Schizosaccharomyces pombe: one gene and its partners. The protein of the gene in region 2 binds, or shares a complex with, the protein of the main gene of each other region. Each region holds a gene or a part of one and is shown on either strand. Other genes may lie near its edges.

What was found. The genes of interacting proteins can lie anywhere in the genome.
Region 1: mrpl37 (region 2) and mrp7 share a complex: the UniProt entries of both Schizosaccharomyces pombe proteins name them as parts of the mitochondrial large ribosomal subunit.
Region 3: mrpl37 (region 2) and mrpl20 share a complex: the UniProt entries of both Schizosaccharomyces pombe proteins name them as parts of the mitochondrial large ribosomal subunit.

What each region holds. Positions count from the first base shown.
Region 1 is NC_003423.3:2,858,595-2,864,408, forward strand, and holds mrp7 (mitochondrial 54S ribosomal protein bL27m), read right to left. Parts: upstream 4,167-5,814; 5' UTR 4,031-4,166; coding exon 3,569-4,030; 3' UTR 2,885-3,568; downstream 1-2,884. Other genes in the region: morphogenesis protein Mor2, read right to left, coding at 1-2,646; Lid2 complex histone demethylase subunit Lid2, read left to right, coding at 5,221-5,814. UniProt on the Schizosaccharomyces pombe protein: Component of the mitochondrial ribosome (mitoribosome), a dedicated translation machinery responsible for the synthesis of mitochondrial genome-encoded proteins, including at least some of the essential transmembrane subunits of the mitochondrial respiratory chain.
Region 2 is NC_003421.2:1,252,682-1,260,433, forward strand, and holds mrpl37 (mitochondrial 54S ribosomal protein mL54), read left to right. Parts: upstream 1-1,636; 5' UTR 1,637-1,863; coding exon 1,864-2,283; 3' UTR 2,284-2,545; downstream 2,546-7,752. Other genes in the region: cca2 (ATP/CTP tRNA nucleotidyltransferase), read left to right, coding at 2,599-3,909, 3,969-4,112; protein mug117, read right to left, coding at 4,252-4,812; SPOM_SPCC645.12C (uncharacterized protein), read right to left, coding at 4,995-5,591; bye1 (transcription elongation regulator), read left to right, coding at 5,953-7,752. UniProt on the Schizosaccharomyces pombe protein: Component of the mitochondrial ribosome (mitoribosome), a dedicated translation machinery responsible for the synthesis of mitochondrial genome-encoded proteins, including at least some of the essential transmembrane subunits of the mitochondrial respiratory chain.
Region 3 is NC_003421.2:819,468-826,361, reverse strand, and holds mrpl20 (mitochondrial 54S ribosomal protein mL58), read right to left. Parts: upstream 5,068-6,894; 5' UTR 4,719-5,067; coding exon 4,125-4,718; 3' UTR 2,885-4,124; downstream 1-2,884. Other genes in the region: duf89 (cobalt/nickel-dependent phosphatase), read right to left, coding at 1-1,119, 1,227-1,257; SPOM_SPCC1393.12 (uncharacterized protein), read right to left, coding at 2,357-2,683; telomere cap complex subunit Ten1, read left to right, coding at 6,205-6,513. UniProt on the Schizosaccharomyces pombe protein: Component of the mitochondrial ribosome (mitoribosome), a dedicated translation machinery responsible for the synthesis of mitochondrial genome-encoded proteins, including at least some of the essential transmembrane subunits of the mitochondrial respiratory chain.

The DNA.
Region 1 (5,814 bases), on a different chromosome or scaffold from region 2:
TATCTTTATGGTTTCCTGTAAACCACGTAAATGGTTTCCAGATTGAACAGCAGTAAGTGTCCTCCTAAGGTCAGTGTGCGAATAATCCACGTTAGAAGTGTATGTAATTGTACAACATGCAACAATAAGGTACAGCTTCCACTGAACTAATAAAAACTCAGGAAAATTATCATTTTTTACAGCAGACTTCAAGTTAAAGTTTAATTCCGAAGATTCAATACGCGATAATAATTGCATAGTAATACTCGGAAGTTTCTCACAAACAGTATTTCTAAGCAATGCCATAGTGGTAGGAAATCTTTCAAAACAAACCTTTATAAAGCGAGGAAATACATTGTACCATATTGAAATGTCAACGCCGCTGTTTGACGTAGCTAGTTTCAAAAGCATATCCTTGGTTCCATCGTTGATAAACTTGCGCAATCGTGACCTTTCAGCAGCAGTCGGTAAGTGACTTTCGACACTCAAAATTGAAGAATCGCAATCTTTCAGAACATCGACAATTGTCGGTTCAGAATATATGTCACCAACTTCAACTTTATCTGAAGAAAGCATCAAATACTCCGTATTTAATTGCTTAACATCATTAAGCAAAGCCACTGCAAACTTACGGATTCCAACTGATGGTGAAGATAAATGAAGTACACCAAGTGATTGAATTTCTTCAATTATCGTCCAACTTTGAATGTCATCATAATCTTGTTTTACAGAGGCAGGAGTATTGCTTTCAGAACTTGCACACGATTTATTACTAAGGACAGAATTCCTTTTTTCAATAACTGCTTCTTGCTGACTGATCCAAATTCTAATAACTTCATGGTAAGTTCGTAACAAGTACTCTGAACCCTTAACCAATTTCCGAGAAAGACAAGATATCACTGACTTCGACATTTTAAGCCCAGAAGAAAAGTATATCAAAGAGTTATGACAAACAGTATGGATTATTTTGTTTGAACAATTCAAACACTTAACATATGCATCAATTACACGTTGTTCTAATTTTCCCATGAGACAAGGAAACACTTTGAGTGCATTAATGTACAAAGCAAGCAAACTGGTTGCATTTTTTGAATCAAGGTAACAGTTGGTATTAGTGGAGAGCTGAAAAACGAGGAATAGAAGCTTTTGCGAAAGATTATGAACAAATTGTTGTAATGGAGTTCCGACGGCAACTTCATGTAAATCAACGAACTCAAATTCAATATATTCGAATATAGTACTATCCGATTTTTTGTACTTCATGTCGTGCAGAATGTAATAAACAGACCGAACAACAATCATTAATTTCTCAGGGCCAATATTCTCGGTAAAAGCATCAGTAGACAAAGGTGTTAAAATCTCTTTGATGACAAGCTCTGGAAAATGAGCACCGACTACACGCACAATTTGTGCATAACCATCCAATTCTTCTAAAGTGGCGAATGGAACCACGCTAAACTTTTTGCCAATCGAAAATCCCGATTTCAAAATATTAGAAATATTAGAATTCATTATGGAAGGTTCTTCCTTATACTGATTAGAGTAAGTCCATACAACACGAGAAAGATGGGGTAGACCGGTGTTCCTTAATCGTCTGTCTTTAACACGAAAAAAAGCAGCATCAAGGGAGGATATCCAATGCTTAAGGAAGAACTGTTTGGGAGAAAGACATAGAAGTGTACAACAAAAAGGGAAAAAAACATTCCAGTATTTAGTTTTCGTACACATTTTCAGTACTACAGGATATATTGTTTCAATGGTGCGCGACCACGCAGGAATATTCACCTCAAATGTAGCTCGACTGATTAATGGTCGAAGCAACTGTTCCATAAGATATGCATATTCGATTTTCAAGGCTGTGTTGGCTTTCATGAAAAAGGAAGTCAATGATTGCAAAAAAGCAATTGACTCTTCTAAAAGAGTTGTTGGATAAAGCTGCAAACGCAAATAACGCATTGCTCTAAGGAGATGGACAAGAACCGTTTCTTTTTGCCTGGAATCACAGCCAGACTTTTCCAAATGCTCAATCTCTTCAATAAAACGATCTGATACCATGACGAAGTTAAATCGAGACATACTTCCCACAAGGAATGCAAAACTTTCCCAATTAGCAAGACTGAAATAGGATGACGAAACTGGTAAATTTTTAGCGCTTAGTAGCTGATGAAAAACGCATTCTAATAAACAAGATACAGTGCTTTCTTCTAAGGCATTTGACGGTATCGTTTCAGCAATCTCAGTCAAGACACGGCAAAGTATATAGATAGAAATAGAACTCCTCCGCTCATTAACAACCCGAGGAGTACCACTTGAACTTGTAATATCAACACGAACTTTTCTCCAACACAATAGGGATTCAATGACGGCAACCGGTTTGCTACTAGCTAAAGCTACAAGAGCTTGAATACATCTGTCAAATTCATTATCTTCCCCCTTTTTAAGAAGGAGGATAGCTTCTTGCTCTCCAACGTTGAATCGTACAGGTTCAGCATTCTTACCTTCGTTGGCATGATAACGAGAAAGAAATGATATTTTTTGTTCAGAGAGTCGAACAAACTGGGTGAAAAGTATGTGAAGCGCGTAATCAACTGCCGTATGGTCCTGCTTCTCAGAATACAAAGGACCATTTTCGACAGGTTGATCGTGAGCAATTTCATTCAAGCTCATTCAGGTTGGCATTATATGGTTATCTACTAAATAGACGAACTTCAAAGAAAAGGAGTATGCAAAGTAAGGGTTTGAGAGCAATACCGCTAGCCTACAGAAAAGTGAAGAAAAAAGTGTATAAAAAAGCTATCTCGTTAGTTTTTATATTTAAGCATGCGTAAGCAAATTGACTAGCAATCGATTGTTAAAATTTAGGCGTGAATGGATTCAAAACTAGAAGTTTGTAATGGCTAGCACTCCGAACAATAAAACCTCTCAGCACACTGCAACAATTTTTGCACATAAAGGAATATAACGCACTGCGTTGTAGTAGGTGTGGTACTATATAGTAGGTGATATACTTAAAAGTCTAACTTCAAAATGCCCAAAATAATTTTTAAATGAAATGTAAAAAAAGAATAACCTTCTGTATGTTTGGTCAAAACTTTCTGAATTCTATGTCAGAAAAGATAATATGGTACAAGTTCAGTTTTTTTTAATGATTTTTAAACCGTGGCAAATGCGATTTTTACACGCTAACTTTTTGGAAACGAATTATAAATATTTGTTGAAAAAACTTGAAAGTTTAAGAACAACATATACAATGCTTAATTATCAAATTATTCGCGTGGAAAAAAATAGAAGCATAAATCAGTAGAAAAAGAAAGACATATACGCAAACTTGTATACGCCCAAGACAAAGTAACAAAATAAGTTATAAATTTAATCATGCATTCACATTTTTGAGCATTAGACAGTAATAAACTACGATGACCGTGACGGGAGTTTAAATAAATAATAAAAAGAAGAAAATGTTATTTCGTGCAACCTTAAGTTGAAGGAAATCCAAAGGCATTGATGCATGTAATTATTAGTATATCCTTTTGAAGTATCTCTAAATAGTGAGCATTGCAGGTATGATGATGAGAGTTTCCGCATGGTTTCATGAAACTTGAGCAGAATTAGCAGAAGTTATATACTTATTGACACGGCGAATTGTAGGTTCATCTTTGGGCCTTGGTAACGTTGTCTCTTTGTCAAAAACAACACCGACGTATTTCCTCCGTTTGCGAAGAGACACATCCATTTGAAAAAACTTAACATATCCGGAAACAAGAGAATATATTGTGTGATCTTTACCTAGACCGGTATTATCTCCGGGATGAAATTTTGTACCACGTTGTCGAATTAGGATCTCACCAGCCCTAACGAATTGGTTTTCAGACCTTTTTATGCCGAGACGACGACCAGCAGAATCACCTGTGTTTTTCGATGAACCACCGCCATGTTTAGTAGAAGTACGAATAGGAGGGAAAGTGAGAATATTTGATGCTTTCTTATAAGCTAAACTAGCTTTAAGTAATTGAAAATTGTTAACACGAATAAAAAGCCCTTGATTGATCATTGCACGGTGAACTTTGCATCAAATGAAGTACGTATTGTAAAAGAAAAATGTGTTAAACTGATTTGGCAAATAATTAGTAATGTAGAAGGATACTAAATATTAAAAAAATTATATCTTCGTCGAAATATTGGTTTATACTAAAAGGATGGATTCGTTGTAACCAATCTTCGAAAGTTTCTACCTTACATTTCCTTTATCCCAATTTACGAGTCGTGGTAATCGTATAAAATATTCTTATTTTACAATAGTGTAGCCTTACATTTTCTGTTTGAAATTCCTTACTCCTAATATCTCGCTAAAAGAGTACCATTACCTACAATTTACTTTGTTTATATTGGAAGCATGATCGCTAATGAAAAAAAAAGTAAAAGACACTAAATTTACGTCGACAATTTCTATCCTTCTTTTTAATCATGGAAAATTCACTTGGCTCTTCAATTCAAACAGCATTAATGACTGCATGAAAGAAATATAACTTTTTCAAAGTTTTAGCCTTTATTGTATTGTCTTTATTACTCAATGATATTCAATTTTACTTGAACTTTTAAAGTATGCAGCTGGAATCACATATAATAGATTTTTCTGTGCTACTAATTGATGTCTTAATGCAATTTCAACTGTTTTGTTCCTCAAAGCAAAAATTTATGAATAAAAACGGATGTGCTTCGTGTTACTAGTTGGTGGCAGGAACCAGCAAATTTCATTTTCTTGTGAAGAAACCATAAATTCTACCTTGACAGCGATATGCTTCAAGTTATACAGTATATGTGCTGCCTTAGTTCGCAGGATAATGTATCAGGATATTGTCAAGCTTTAACTGGATTTGATTATACTCGGAAACTTCCTTAGGTTAAAAACTTTTAAAATTGGCATAAAATCTTTTTCTCGTGGATCTTCCAGCCATAGCACGACAGGGAGTACTAATTAAAGTACGTTTTGCTTAGCTGTACCTACGTTAATGTCGATCTGAAGCTTTAAGCTACTACTTCCACCTAATACTGTCGTGTCGATCCCATAACGGTGTGTTATCGACGATAAATACATCAATGTACGCGTTTTTTATTTTATGTAATTTATTAGAATATTTTTTAAAAGTTGTAAAATTTTTTGGTATATATTTTTAAAACAGGGTGGTGTTGCATTTCTAAATATTTCTCCATGTATATTGATTATGCACTTTTCCGTTTTCCATGATATGCCAGCTTTTGTGGCACGAACATAATTCTATGGGATCAGGAAGAGAGAAGAAAATAAGAAAGCTAGGAGATAACTTTTCATTACCATATCTGAAATTTGATTGTGACCATAATGACAAAAATTATCGCGCGTCAAATAGGCCATTTGGACTTTCAACTGGACTGTCAGTGCAGTTGAATGCTTCGAACATGACTGATCCCTTTAAATTTTTGTTAGATAATTGGCATACAATTTTCAAAAATGGAGCAATTAAGCTTCTGCCACCTGAGGGATGGCAAATACCTGTTGTTCTTGATCAAGGCGCTTTTGAGTTTCAGTCAAAACGCCAATGTTTAAATAAAGGTTGTCTCAATTATGAAAAAAATTATGATTATTTTAAGAAACTTAAAGCATTTCATGAAAGTCGCGGTTTATATTTTTATCACCCACCGATTATCGGGAATCGCCCAGTTGATTTTTTGCGTTTGCGTAATGCAATCTCAAAGTTTACTAATTCCGGCTCTTCATTAAATAATGAAATTTTACATAAAGTCATAATCTATTTGCGTCTTGAAGATACTAAAGAAGTGAGGCAGGTTCTCACTCGT
Region 2 (7,752 bases):
AAGCAATCCCGAATCATCAAAAATAAATTAAAATAATTTTAAAAAATAAAAAAAATAAATCGCAGAAGCACAAAGCATAATACTATTGATAAGTTCAATGTAATTTAATTTGGTTCATTACTATTTAAAACTAAATCCCCATCTTATAGTAATATAGAAATAAACAGAAAGTATATACAATTTCTCTACAGGATGAAAGAAAAAAAAACCCCCAGAAAATAAATGAGGGAAAAAAATAGGATATCAAATATTGATCGAGGAAATCACAAGCATTTCCTTCAGTGTAAGAAAAGCAAAATAGGGAAAATCGTAATTGTACATTGAAAGCATACATTTTTACAAAATTGTAAAATTTCTTTATTTAAATCGTTTCCAAAATGAACCGGAAATGTTATAAGCAAAAATATACTAAATAAATGAATTTAAAACTATTTCGGTACACTAAATAATCTCTTATAAATTTATTAAATTTAAATACATAATCTACTTAATACTAATCGTCTCAACGGAGGACAACGTGGCCGAGTGGTTTTAAGGCGTTCGCCTGCTATTCTGTAGCCCAGCGGATTCCCTTTGGGAGCGCAGGTTCGAATCCTGCCGTTGTCGGCATGATTTTTTTTATTTGTAAAATGAATATCGAAGAGCCTTAGAGAAATATGTTATAGGAATTTATCGAGGCAAATAATGAAATTCTAGTAAGAGAATAACCTGATGGTTAAAGCTTGTTTATTGATCTTCTTGCAGATTTTTTATTGTTTTCATGAGATGGATAATACTTTAAATGATTTATGTTCTATCTAAAGTAAAACTTGGCGAAATTTTAAGAAAACACCCATAAAGGTGTAACTATTAACTAAGAAGAGTTCGCAAGTCAGTGATTTATTTTTTTCAATTGTCCCGAGTGACTTAAGACACCGACTAGTACAATTTGTCAAATTTATTGTAAATCTATTTTTCTTTAACAAAAAGTGATTGCAAGCGCTTCTCGATCCTCAATGGATCAGTCGCTAACTGTGTGGAATAAGTACATTTCGCAAGTAAAAAAAATGGTAATTCTGACGTATCGAATGAAGGACATAACGTTAAACATAATTGAATACTAATTCTAAAATCTATATATGTTCTCTTTATTTAAACCGTACTACTAGATTGTTCCTCAATATCCCAAATAACACCTAATGGTTCTTTACCATTTACAACAATCAAGTGATTGTCGAAGAAACATTGCAAGTTGAGAAAAATGAATGAAGTAGAAATATTCTAATGTGCTAATGATTTATTGTAAAAATAAATCATATTATTTTATTTCTTTGACTTTCTTACATAGTCGAACACAGACAAATACAATTTTCGATTAACATTTCTAGAGTCTCACTTGATAGATTGTGCTTTACTTTATTTCATAAGTATTCCTATAGTACTCAAGCGTGCTTGGTATTATTATTGTAAACTTAATGACATTCTTGTTAGAACGACACCCCATTTGAACTTAGCAATAGTTTATAATTATGAAAAAAACAAAAACAAAAATTTTATTTTGATTCCCAAATTGTAAACAGACGCTTGAAACCCTTACATGTACCTGTGTCTGCTACCCATCTGTACATGAGTTGTATAGTAACGTCCAGGTTGTCCCATAACCAAACTCCTTGAACTTTGAAAGCGGCTCTTTATAGAGTCATTTTTTATTTCCTATAGTACTTGAAATAATATTATTCTCTAAAACTTTTCACTCAAAGAGCAGGACGTATTTGCTCCTTATATATGCGAAGGCGTTACTATTGACCTTTTTCATCGCCTTTGATCCACTTTTGGTTAAAGATTTTATCCTCCTTGCAAAGTTTTTTGTTTACTGTCTAAGCAATGCCATTTATCGAGTCAATGGCCCCTTTATCGCGCGCAATTACTCGCGGTATCTCTCAATTCTCATGCTACTCTAACACATTGGTTTTAAGAAGTTCCCGTAACTCTTCTTCATCATTAGTTAAACGAAGTTATGTATCCTCTCGTGTTTCACCCAAAAAGCCACAGCATAATTCGGATGCCACTTCTTCAGCTCAAAAAGTCGCTAATAAAACGCACACTAGTTCTGTCCTTCCAGGTACTATATTAAAGGGACTGTGTATAAAGGCGGGTGGCGTCGACCCTGTAGCTCGTGAAGATCATGAATATCCAGAATGGTTATGGTCTCTTCTGGATGAGCCAGCTCCCAATTCTAAGACTGCCCGAAGTCATGCTCGTAAAAGTGCCATTCGAGCGGCTAACTTTCTTACTAAAAAATAATTACCTTTTAGAATGTTTGAAACTCTTAATTTTCCATCTCCTCTCTATCCTTATGAGCATTTGATCCATTCTTTTTGTTTACTTTTTTTGAGGCATATGACATTCGCTACTTTACCATTTCCCAGAATCCAAAAATCATTTTAAAATAAAAATATATTAAATAACCTTATATCAGTGATATACATTTGTAGCATAAAAAAAATTACTACTACATGTCCTTCTTTAAGAGAAGCATATTCAAACCTCAACCTGCCAACCTTAGAGAAACCGGTATTGCCCAAACTGTGTATCGTTTATGGAATTTGGCTGACGAAAATGTATTCTAGAATTGTATTGAACGATGTTGAGAAAAAAGTTGTTAATCTTTTGAAAAAGACTGCTGATTTTATTGAATCTAAATCCAGCAGCAGTTCGTCATTGGAAGTTAGATTGGCAGGAGGATGGGTTCGCGATAAACTTCTTGGGCTTTCTAGTGACGATTTAGACGTTACGTTGAATAAAGTTACCGGTGTTGACTTTGCAAATTCAATATTTGAGTATGTTCACTCTCTCGACTCTGACTCAGTTATTCCATATAAAGACGCACTTGGCAAGCTAACTGTCAATCCCGATCAAAGCAAGCATTTAGAAACTGCTACCTTATCCCTATTTGACCTTGATATTGATTTTGTAGGACTTCGTGCAGAATCATATGATGATAAAAGTCGAATTCCTAGCGTTACCCCAGGAACTGTTGAAACAGATGCATTGAGAAGAGACTTCACGGTTAACACCCTATTCTTTAACATACGAACAGAAAAAATAGAGGACATTACAAAGCGAGGATATAAAGATTTGCAAACCAAAGTGTTGGTCACGCCCATTTCACCTCTCCAATCATTTTTGGAAGATCCCTTACGAATTTTGAGAGGCATTCGGTTTGCATCCAGATTTGAATTTACAATTGATCCGTCGGTCGTTTCCGCTATCCAAGATCCGAAAGTATGTAAAGCTTTTGAAAAAAAGGTTAGCAAGGAACGTGTAGGAGAGGAAATTGAGAAAATGTTGAAGGGTGCAAACGCGAAGCTAGCACTTCAACTGTTATATTCAACGAACACGTATCAGTTTACGTTCGATACTTTGCCAGCTGAAAAAGAATTTCAAATTCCAAAGGCATTGGAAGCTACCGAGTCTTTATTTCAGAGTCTTGCATTGACGTTTCCTAAACTTATGAAATTAAGTGAAGATGAGAAAATTGGGCTATGGCTATATGTTGCTCTAATTCCATGGTCTAGTCAAACTGTTATGGTTAAGAAAAAACAATTTTATATTCCTGCAATCATCGCAAAAGACAAGTTGAAGCTCAGAAGTACATATGTTAACCAGTTGAATCAGTGCTGCACATTCAATCCGATATTCGATGAATTAGTTAACGATACTTCCACTAAAAATTGCTCATCTATTGGCAGCTTAATACGACAATTGAATAAATCCTGGGAAGTCGTGTTTTTAACATCGGTCATATATAGTTGTTGTAAAACACCGGCAGCATCTGTATCAAATACATTTAGTTCTTATAAATCTCTATATGACTTTATTTATGACAAAAATTTACAAAATGCTTATAACATGAAGCCATTATTAGACGTATGTAATTCTTTTATTTCTGTTAACAATATTGAGCGAATAAGCTAACAATTTTTTAGGGAAAACAGATCATGAAAAATGTGGGAGTTAAGCCTGGCCCGCAGCTGAAAGAGACTATGGATAACATGATTTCCTGGCAATTTAAACACCCTGAAGGAAGTGTCGAAGATTGTGTTGCATACCTTCAATCCCTAAAAATATAAGAAAAGACAATCACTGTTTAGATAACTTAATCGCACAAAAGATTAAAAGAATAAAAGTCACCAGTAATCGTCGTCCTTTTTGGAAATTCGTATTTATGATATTTATGCTTAATTCAGAATGGATCCTTTCCTCTTATTATTACCAATCTCTAACCGGCTCTCGATAATCGTATTCGCTGGTGCTTGGTGTAATTTCGGTACAGTCTGGATAACAGTAGTTCAATTTGACATAGCATCTTGTGTTTTCATTATCATTATTAAAAAAACGAGTTCCACAAGCGGAACATTGCAAATTTAATTGATCAAATTCATCAATGATTTCGTTGCCTGTGCGTGCTGGATAATCACCTTCGCACTCATAAATGGCAGTGCAAGAACTAGCTGTATAAGAAGAATATCCATGGTAGATCAAGGATCTATTATACTTCATGTACGCGTTCGGACACGCACGATTTTCTCCTCGAAGCATAGGGCAAAGAAATGAGCCCTTACAGTTATTAGGATGAACCGAATTATCATATCCAAGCATGTTAAATAAACTTCTTCGATAGTTTGAAGTAATTCGAGAGCCTTTTGCTTCTGGCTCAAAGACAGTACTAAGATCACTTCTAATTGGGACTGCAATGCATATGTAAATGCAGATTCCGTATATGAATAGGAACAAAGTTAATTTCTCTGTTACACAACAAAATTTCCACATTCCTTCCGAAATATTAATATATATTAAATATGCAAAAGTGTTTAAAGCAATGCTTCTTATTTGCAATTATTCTTAATTAATTAATATTTTTCTTTTGGTTAAGGAAAGAATATGTAATATAAACAGTATTCTTTTAGTTGGTGTCAATATTTTTGTTTGTTTTTAAGATCGTAAACAGAGCTTTACAAACCCCAAAGCAAGGTGTCTTCATCTAGTGAAGCATCCGAGTCATTATTAGATAAATTGCTAGATTCTTTAACAGAAAAGTTATTTTTTTTAGTTTCAAACCTTTTTTGTTTCAAACGACGGATAAGATCCCTCGACTCACCCAATTTGCTTTCTTCTTCATAAAGAATATCATAAACTTCTGGTTCTAAATCATTATCTGCAATTTCATTTTCTTCATCCTTTTCGGCCAATAACTGTTGCTGTTGGAGTGTTATTTCTTGTTCAACAGCATTTTCCTCAATAATGCCAATCTCATTTTGAAAATCGTTCCACTCTTCTTCAATTAGTTCTTTATTTTTAGCAATAGATTCATCAAAAAAGTTTTCTGGAAGTGCGGACACCGCTCGTGTATCCTTAGGAGGTTCTGTAGATTGCTTTTCATTAAAATCACTTACTGCCAGCTCACGAGATTGATCACGACCTAAATTTTCAAATGATTTATGATCTCTCGTCTTCTGACGCTTCAGTTCTTGACTAGAGGCTTTCAGACCTCGCTTTTGCCCTAATCGCTCTTGTTTTACTTTCCTCAGTAACTCTCGTGCACTACTCATATTTTTGAAGCTCCTTTTCTAACAATATTCACATTTAATCGTAAAATATTGCATTCGAACTATAAAATAGCATGTATCCTTAGTTTTCGCAGATTTTGCACCTTTGCTATAACAAACTACAACACTGCTGCCACTTGCCAATAACCCATACCTGCCAACACCTTGTTTTTTAGAACTCTTGACGAGCTTTTGTGAGGATATTAAACACTTCAGGAACGACTTTTGTTTAGTTATGCATATATTTTAATCTCCTCAGTTTATTTAGTACGCATTCAATCACTTGTTATTCGAATTGCATGTATTAACCTTGAAGTACAGATGTCATTGATCAAAATACTTTTTATTCCCATAATAACGAAGCATGGTAAGAAAAAGCACTAGAAGGACGGCAAAAGCCTCAGAAAAACCTCCTGAAACTGTTGTTCGGTGTGTTTGTAAATCGCAAGAAGACATTGGCGATACGTGGGTTCAATGTGATGGGTGTGATTGCTGGCAACATGCCAGTTGCGTTGGATTAGCGGATAAGGATATACCTGAAAGCTACTATTGTGAAGTTTGTCATTCGCGAAGCGACGTTTCATCACAAGTACAAAATTCTCCCAATAAGGATGAAGAGCATCAGACAGCTGATTTACTTGCCTCTAATGAAGGGAACGAGAAAAACAATGAAGAAAATAATGTTGTATCTTCTGATTCAAAAGAGGCGATTACTAAAGAGTCAGGCGCTGAACTAGAATCATCCGAGCCTGCTTCGACAAATTCTAATGTTGGAATGACTACTAGGTCTGGTCGACAATCTCCTAGGACTCCTATTGGCTCCACGACACCAAAAAGTTCTCATTCTCCACCTTCAACTCGAAAACGAAGAGGCAGTGTTGGTACGACGGCTACTCATACCAAACGTAGCAAGAATGCACCAAAAACATCTCCTAAGGATGCTTCCAATGAAACTGCAGATCAGGAAAAGGAGCTTAGTTTACACACTTCTATCGATGAAATTCAAAACCCTGTTAGAAAAAGTGTTGCCAAAGCCTGGGTTTCCGTTTTTGAAAAAATCATTGAGAAAGCAAAACTTGAAGGTGTGCAAGGATTAGAAGACCTTAATTCTACATCCTTAGCGCTTCAGCTTGAGCATATTATGTTTATGGTGCTTTCGTATACAACTGATCATTCGTTAACTCCGAACAACAAATATCGAGAGAAGTTTCGTGCTTTACGATTCAACTTGGTTGATGACAAAAACCCGGCATTTCGAGCGCGCGTGTTAAAAAATGAAATTAGTTTTAACGATCTGGTCAACTTATCCAGTGAAGAAATGGCTAATCCTGACTTGAAGAACCTAGCTGAGGAAATTCGTCAACAAAGTACTGAAAACACAGTCATAAAGCAACATTTGATTGCTCCACGAGATCGTTTACTTGATGAAGATAAACTTACACAACAAGATGAACTTGGTATTGCGGAAAACGATGATGCGATGTTTCCCAAACCTCCTGGAGAGCTTGTAGCTCCAATTTCAATTGCAGAAGAAGAGCCCACAATTGATTCCAAAAGTCCTACTTTACCGGAACATAATCCTCTTTCTGAAGACGATACATCTAATGGTGATAAAGCTGCAAAAAGAAAAGGGAGTTTTAACGACACAAAACCGATAGTCAATGTCCCTTCCATCGTGGAAATAGATGATCCTACTATACTTGACATTGTAGAAGAGGAGCCTCTTGCGAGGAACGATTCATTTTCTTCTCCGTATTCGCCTGCTGAAGATATGGCTGAGGAGTCTGAGTTTTTTGGCATGAAAGAGAAAATATGGACTGGAAAAGTAAAAATGGCTACTGTTTCAGAGTTTCACGCAAATGCCTTAAATTTATTTGGTGATGTTAGTGCTAGTCATTTATTTGAAATTTTATCTGCGACAGCTTTAATTGAGGGTCGTATAAGTGTATCATCAGTTTTGCAGTATTTTCATGCTCTAAGAAAAACTCCTTCTAAAGAAATAATTGCGGTGCTATTCGTACCCACTGAGCAAAACTCACAAGGATTTGATATTTTGTACGATTATTTTGTGAAAAGAAATCGCTATGGAGTGTTACATTCGAAGTCTAATTCTGTGAAAGATGCATACATTATTCCTATGCCATCAGGAAACAGCGTGCCTGAA
Region 3 (6,894 bases), 430 kb from region 2:
GTGTTGTATGAGGCCACTCACAATCGCCGGTGAGCTTGCGAAAATTCAAATCTCCTTTAAAGATGACCATATCTGATTGTTCTAAGTCAGATAAAAGTTTAGGAGCAACATCAGGTAGCCGTCCAAAATAATGAGCAGTAGTCCAAAAAGGATTGGGTCGAATTACAATTTTTCCTTCCGCATGAAACTCCGCAAGATCAGAGGCTAATTTTTGGACACCTTCGCCTGAAAAATAAGAAGTTAAGCTGTTAAATAAATGGGGGATGTCGTTGACTAAGACATCGGAAACAAACCAGGGTACATCCTTCGGATGTAAAATAATTGTTTCCGCTATTTCTGTTTTCAAAAGATAAGTAGCGAATAAAAGATCAACGAAAAGTTCAAATCCCGCATTATCAAGAACAAAATCGATGCGACCATGACGAACTTTTGAAAGTTTCGACCAAATTTTGGGGAAATCATTCACTAAAATGTTTTTCTGGGATTCCTCAACAGCTTTTTGCCCCTGAAGGCTTTGTAATTGTTCGTAGGTAGCATTTACTAAGAGTCCCAGATCAATGGCGTTGCCCCAAAGTGAAATTTCCGCCATTTCTACAAAAATCATGTATGCAGCCTTGTCATCCTTGTTTTCTTGAATAGAAGCAAGTTCACTGTTCAGGTGTACATATCTTTTGGCAAATTCTTCAATGGCCGACTTGCTAGAACGTAATGTGAAGTCCTTTTGTTCAAAGAAGGGGTCATGGCGATTCCACTCAGAACGGGCTTGAAAGAAAAGACTCATGATACGATAAAAATAGCATCCAGCATAAAGCCAGGGAGCATCGCCCCAAGTCAATGGACCAACTTGTTCCAACTCCTCATTATAGTCATCAATATCAGGCCCTTGACCGACAAGCGGCTTCAGAGGGCGATTGTGTTGAAGATCATATTTGAGTTGATTAAGAAGGCTGATTATTTCCTTTCCTTGAGTAACATAAGCAGCTTTATCGGACATTCCCGCCTCCAATGCCTTTGATATGTTTCGAGAAACCTCGTCAATCACATTCGTAGCTATAATAGGCCATTTTTTCATGACACATACCGAAGCATACGACTCAGGGTCACTGGTCATCGCATAAGCTGTATAAAGTTAGTTATTTTGCGGTTTTAATCTACCTATACGATGCTCGAGCATCCAACTAAGAATCCTCAAGTTTGTTTATATGTCTAGCTAAACCGTTACATACGTTTAGGAGGATGAAGTAATTTGAGACCCATCTTATTTTCTTCAGGTACCTATTTTCCTGTTGAAGGATAGACACGTTTATGAATACGCCAAAACCAGCTTAGCTGAGTACGCCCAAGTGCGAATAATGGAAGATGGTAGAATGCATACATACGCAGGACTTGTCATGAAGGTGAAAACGGGATAGAGAAGTATAACGAACTGCGCTTTTTTAGAGCTTGATTAGCAGTCAGAAGCATTAGGTACGACGGCTAAGAAATGTCAAAACGACAATTCCATCGTAATATTTGTCAGCAAAAAAAAGTTTATCTTCTATAAACCGGCATAATGCATTTTTTTGCGTTTGACTTTTTAGCTTATTTAGAGAATTCACCTGAGGGGCATTTTCCATACCTCTCGTTGTCTCAAATTAACAAAAAACTATGCATTACAGTATTCTCATCTTTCGCGTAAGCTAAGGTTATATCTAAGCGAACTTGATGAGTTCTATCTCTTCATCTTGAATATTATTAAATATATCAATTTTGACTCTGTCTACTAGAGCAGATTAAAGCAAAACACTCCTTTCAATCTTTTATTTTTTTAATAATGGAAACTAGGAAAAACCTATAATATCCAAACTATGCATGTATTCATATGCATTATCACTACTCTTAGTCCACATCGCTTACTTTAAATATCATTTTACAGTCTATAATGGAAAATCATGCATGTAAAAATTTCAATCATTCATTTATGCGTTCATGAAAAACATTATTTCAATTAAAAATTCGCTTTTATCTGTACAAAAAAAAGCAAACTTCTATGAGGGTGTTTTTGACAACCCATGGAATCGTCGTTTGTTTGTCATCGCTAATCATTTGGGTTCAGTTGGTTTATGAGAGAAGAAACTAATAATAACATAAAAAAGAATAACGTTAACAACGTTTAATCTCTCCGACTTTGCCGAGATGTGATCCGGAATGTTTGGCAATACGTTTGGAACAATTAACAAGAACACTTAATGGATAGCAGGTATAGAACGAGCCAATGCTAGGCACTTTACGTTTTCAAATACACAACAAACCCTGTGTGTATTTTTTCAAAGTATTGCCACATAACCCTAAATGGCGAGAATTGGGGATTTCCAATTTAAAACCATTTTGAGGTACCCTTTTTAAGGGCTTCTGCTTGTTCAGTACCCTTGGCTTGCGCCTCTGACAACACATTTTTTACGTTTTCACGAGGTTTGTCGAGTTCATCGACAACCCTCTCCTTCCCACTTTGGAGATAAGATTTTGCCTTTTCAGTGGTTTCGCCAACAGCTTTGTCAAATCGTTGACCCTCATTTTCCACGGCTCTGACGATTTCTGCATTCTTCTGTTCCAATCTGGAAGATGCCTGACGATTATGGCGAGTCATATAATAACCAACACCAACAGCAGCGGCCAAGGCTCCAAGAGTAACACGCCTATTCATGATGCTCGATTAGGATTTCGTGAATTAACCGAGTAAAAAAAAATTAATAAATCGAAAGGTTATATAAAAGCGGTTTTCTCCGTACAACACAAAGGATTGATATAATATTCAATCGAGCGCACGAAAAAAAATTAGATTTTTCCTGAACACTAGTAAATGTTCAATTGTAAAGTAAAACAATATTTCAAAGTAGTAAGTCGCTTTTGTTCAACTCACAACTTTATCGTTAATAAGAGTGCTCACTTCTACTTCCCACTGCTCTATATATAACACTTTTAGTAGCACAATACGGCAACGTAAATGAGATCATTCATATACGTATTAACCCACCCACCCATCATATAATTCTTGTGTCTGACTGATGTCACCCCAAAACTTCTCGAGGTACTAAGTAACAAGGAGAGAAGAGGAGAGAGGAGTGTAGGATTTGAGAATCGCAGTATGCAGTATTACAACAAAGCTGTGTCCACCATACAAATTAAGCTTGTTAGAGTCTGTAAAAACAATGTCTTAAAGCAAAATTCCTCAACTAGGTCGCATGTTTCTTTAGACGATCGTTGGAAAATTGGGCCAACAAAGAAGAGCACGTATAGTCACACAAGCTTCAAAAAAGTAGAAAACGGCGAAACAAAGCTTTAATATAAGTAAATAGTAGCTAGAGATGGATGTATTAATGAAATCCGTAGAATGCAAATTGTCCTAAGGAGATGGATGGATGATGGCTGGTGAGGAAACTTGCAAAAGTAAGTATCTCGTGAGTGTTTATAAACGGTTGATGTCGATTGGAAATCTTAAATAGCAACTGCTTAAAAGCCGAAAAAATATCTTTATTTTCACCACTTGAGGTTTGAACGAAAGGGCTCTCTGTACAAGAGGAAATAAAGATGTTTTTTTACTGCTCGCTGACCCAATTAATTATGTACACCATTGTATATTCTCAGTAATAGTTAAAAGATAAAACCAAAAAAAAAAAAAAACTGGCTTGAGTGTTACAAAAGCAACATACTCTATGATTGAGGATTTCCGAGCCTACTAAGCTGAAATGAAAAATTTCCTCATTTGTTCCAAAAAGGAAATATGTACATGAGAAGGGAGAGGTAAAAATGTAAAACAAGTTCGTGCCTGTATAATAACATTTTAAAGGTTGCGACAAAAATTCGCGATATGCAGACCAATGTGCGTAAATGTTGATAGAAATGTAAAGGATAATTCGTAAAATGCCAGAGAGCCTTTGTAAATTAAGAAATAAAGAAGAATGAAGATGTCTGTTTTTTTTGAAAAGCTTCAAAACTAATATTATTTTCCAAGGAACTTTCAAATCACTCGAGTATTTTGTAACGTGATTGAAACATTAAATAATGCAGTCAAAAACGCTTCCGCATGTGCATCAGAGCTTTATTGAAAACCAGAGTTTTAGAATCCCAAAAACTATTAAATTATTTTAAACCTGTGCTACTCGTTCCAATGTACGGAATGCTTGACGAGATGCACGTTGTCGGCGAATTTCACGCTTCTTTGATCCCCAGGCAAGTTTTTCAGCCTCAAAATTTTCTTCAACTTTTTGAATCCTTTCTTTGGGAGCTTCACAAACTCGTGAAATTAGTAACCGAGTTGTGTTAAACTTTTTAGACAGTGTTCCAGTTGTCCAAGCATTCGGATCTTTCGTCCTCAAGTCTTGGATGGATTTGATATCTTCACTACTCAGTTGATGAGTAGAAAACCTCAACTTTCCTTTGCTTTTCGATTTTCGGCTAACTGCCGGCGGGAGAAACATTGACTCTTTGGAAAGTGAGGTATCACGCTGATGAATTGGAGGTGCATCATAGCGAAAAACAGGAGGAGTAATCCTAACATCTGGAGAAGACGCTGGTGGATTGTAATAAGCAGATGTAGTTTCAGTTACCTCTGCTATTTTGGAACCCATAGGAATTTTAGGTCGCTTAGGAATACGTTGTTTAGGGTATAGCCGGTTCAAATTCCGAGTCTGAATGAAGCCTACAGGCTTCAAAAATGAAGGTTTGATTGTAAACAACATGTTTTTACTCTTTCAACTATTTTAATTTTGGTGTCGCTTTAGAAATGATGCTTTAAATTTTTTTGAGAAAAGGTTATAACACAAAAAACTGTAAAGGGCCTTTTGGATAAACCCACACTTCAAATAATATTAGTTATAACGAAGATTCTCAAAGCCTAAAAGCTATAGCAACGACGTGACAAAAGAGCTCAATGCAAAAAAAAAATAAACAGCAAAAAAACACGCAAAAAATCACTTGGAAGAGTTCTAACTTTTGAATTTACAAGAATCGTATTAAGGCTTGCAATTTTCCGAGTAAAAACACGAAATTACTCTCCAAATGCGGGTTTCCTGGAGTTTAGCAGTCTCTATATGCACAGTATCCACACTCTTAGTTTCAATACGTATAATGCAGTGTGTTTATGGCACCTTAAATGTATATTATATAATTCGTTATATTAAAACTGGTTTTTGGCACTTTGACGGTTTATTAAGAGAAATCGGAAGATTCAAGCTAAAAAATATTGTTAACGGCATTTTGATTGTAGGATAAATTCAATACAATTTTGTTTTGCTGTTTTTTTTTTAAACCATTTCTAATCTGTTCATGGTTCAATTTAAATACCGATTATATTGAATACTGGAAGCATGATATTTTAAATATTAAATTAAATTTATTTTATTTTTTTCAATTTTCCATAGATTTTTAGGAAATGTACACACCTTTTCAAACTGACCCAAATTTTTTGCAATGTAAATTATAATATCAAATGGTTAAGTAAGGGGTAACCTTTTGTTTACAGTCAGCTTCAATTTATCAAGTGAATATTAGCCGCATTGGCCCTATAACTAAAATCGGAATTTATTACAAGAACTATTGATTTCTTATAAGGCCTTAAACAACTACATCAGAACATGTTTCCAATTCTCTGCTTGATTTTAATCAATATTATAATGGTATAATAAATAATTATCGTTATCGTTAATAGCTACTTATATTATACAAGTTTACAAGATATTTCAAGAAGCTTTGGTGGTTTAGTGGTATAATGAATCGTTGCCATCGATTCGACCCGGGTTCGATTCCCGGCCAAAGCATTTATTTTTCTCTTTTTATATTCCATCTGACTTAATTTATAAAAACTAATCAAAAGAACCATGCTTGCGTTTTTTGTGGAGTTGCTCAAGTAAACCAATTCATAAATAATAATAATGGAAATGTTGGTCTATTTATCAATCTAATATGCCTCACTGATAGTACTATACGATTATTAGATTTTGCTTTTACTATTGCAAACGAGAGTGTAGTCTTTCTGCACATTTTAAGGATTAATGCAAATTTTTCCTTTTGAAAAAGTCAAACTACGTTTTCTTAATTAAAGCTGCGATCTTAAGTCGCTCATTTACGAAATTCATATTTCAATCGATTACCCAGTTTCCAAACACAAACTATACCACCTTCCCTCATCTTTCCTTGTTCTCCTTTTTACAATATATTTAGCAGCTGATGGATAGTGCTAAACTTATCTTCATTAATCAAATTAACGATTGTAAGGACGGCCAAAAACTTCGATTTTTAGGATGCGTGCAATCATATAAGAATGGCATTCTACGGTTGATTGATGGATCAAGCAGCGTGACTTGTGATGTTACAGTAGTTTTACCTGATGTATCTATTCAAAAGCATGAGTGGCTCAACATTGTTGGGAGAAAGCGGCAGGATGGTATTGTGGATGTCTTGTTAATACGATCTGCTGTTGGAATTAATCTTCCGAGATATCGACAAATGGTTTCTGAACGTCAAAAATGTGATTGATGAATATCTTATGTAGTTCTGTTGCACCATGTCATTACAAACTCATTTAAAAATATATAGAAAGTGATCACCTTAAGATACCATAAAGGTACTGAATCGTGTTAATGTCAGTCTTTATAATAATAAATATTTATTAACCTCCAGGTTCAAAGTCGAAAACAAACAATCATGGTTAAAAAAAAAAAGGAACGAATTACATCTGTTCAAATTGCTATATACTCTAATTTGAATGTTTAACTAACAAAGATAAGCGTTACCTTGTGGCATCTATTTATTTTTGTTGAAACTTTTATTACTTTGTAAAAACTTAAGACAAATTACCAGAATTTGTTTTGTCTTTCCAACATGGACATGTAATATGTGGCTTCAACATTCATCAAA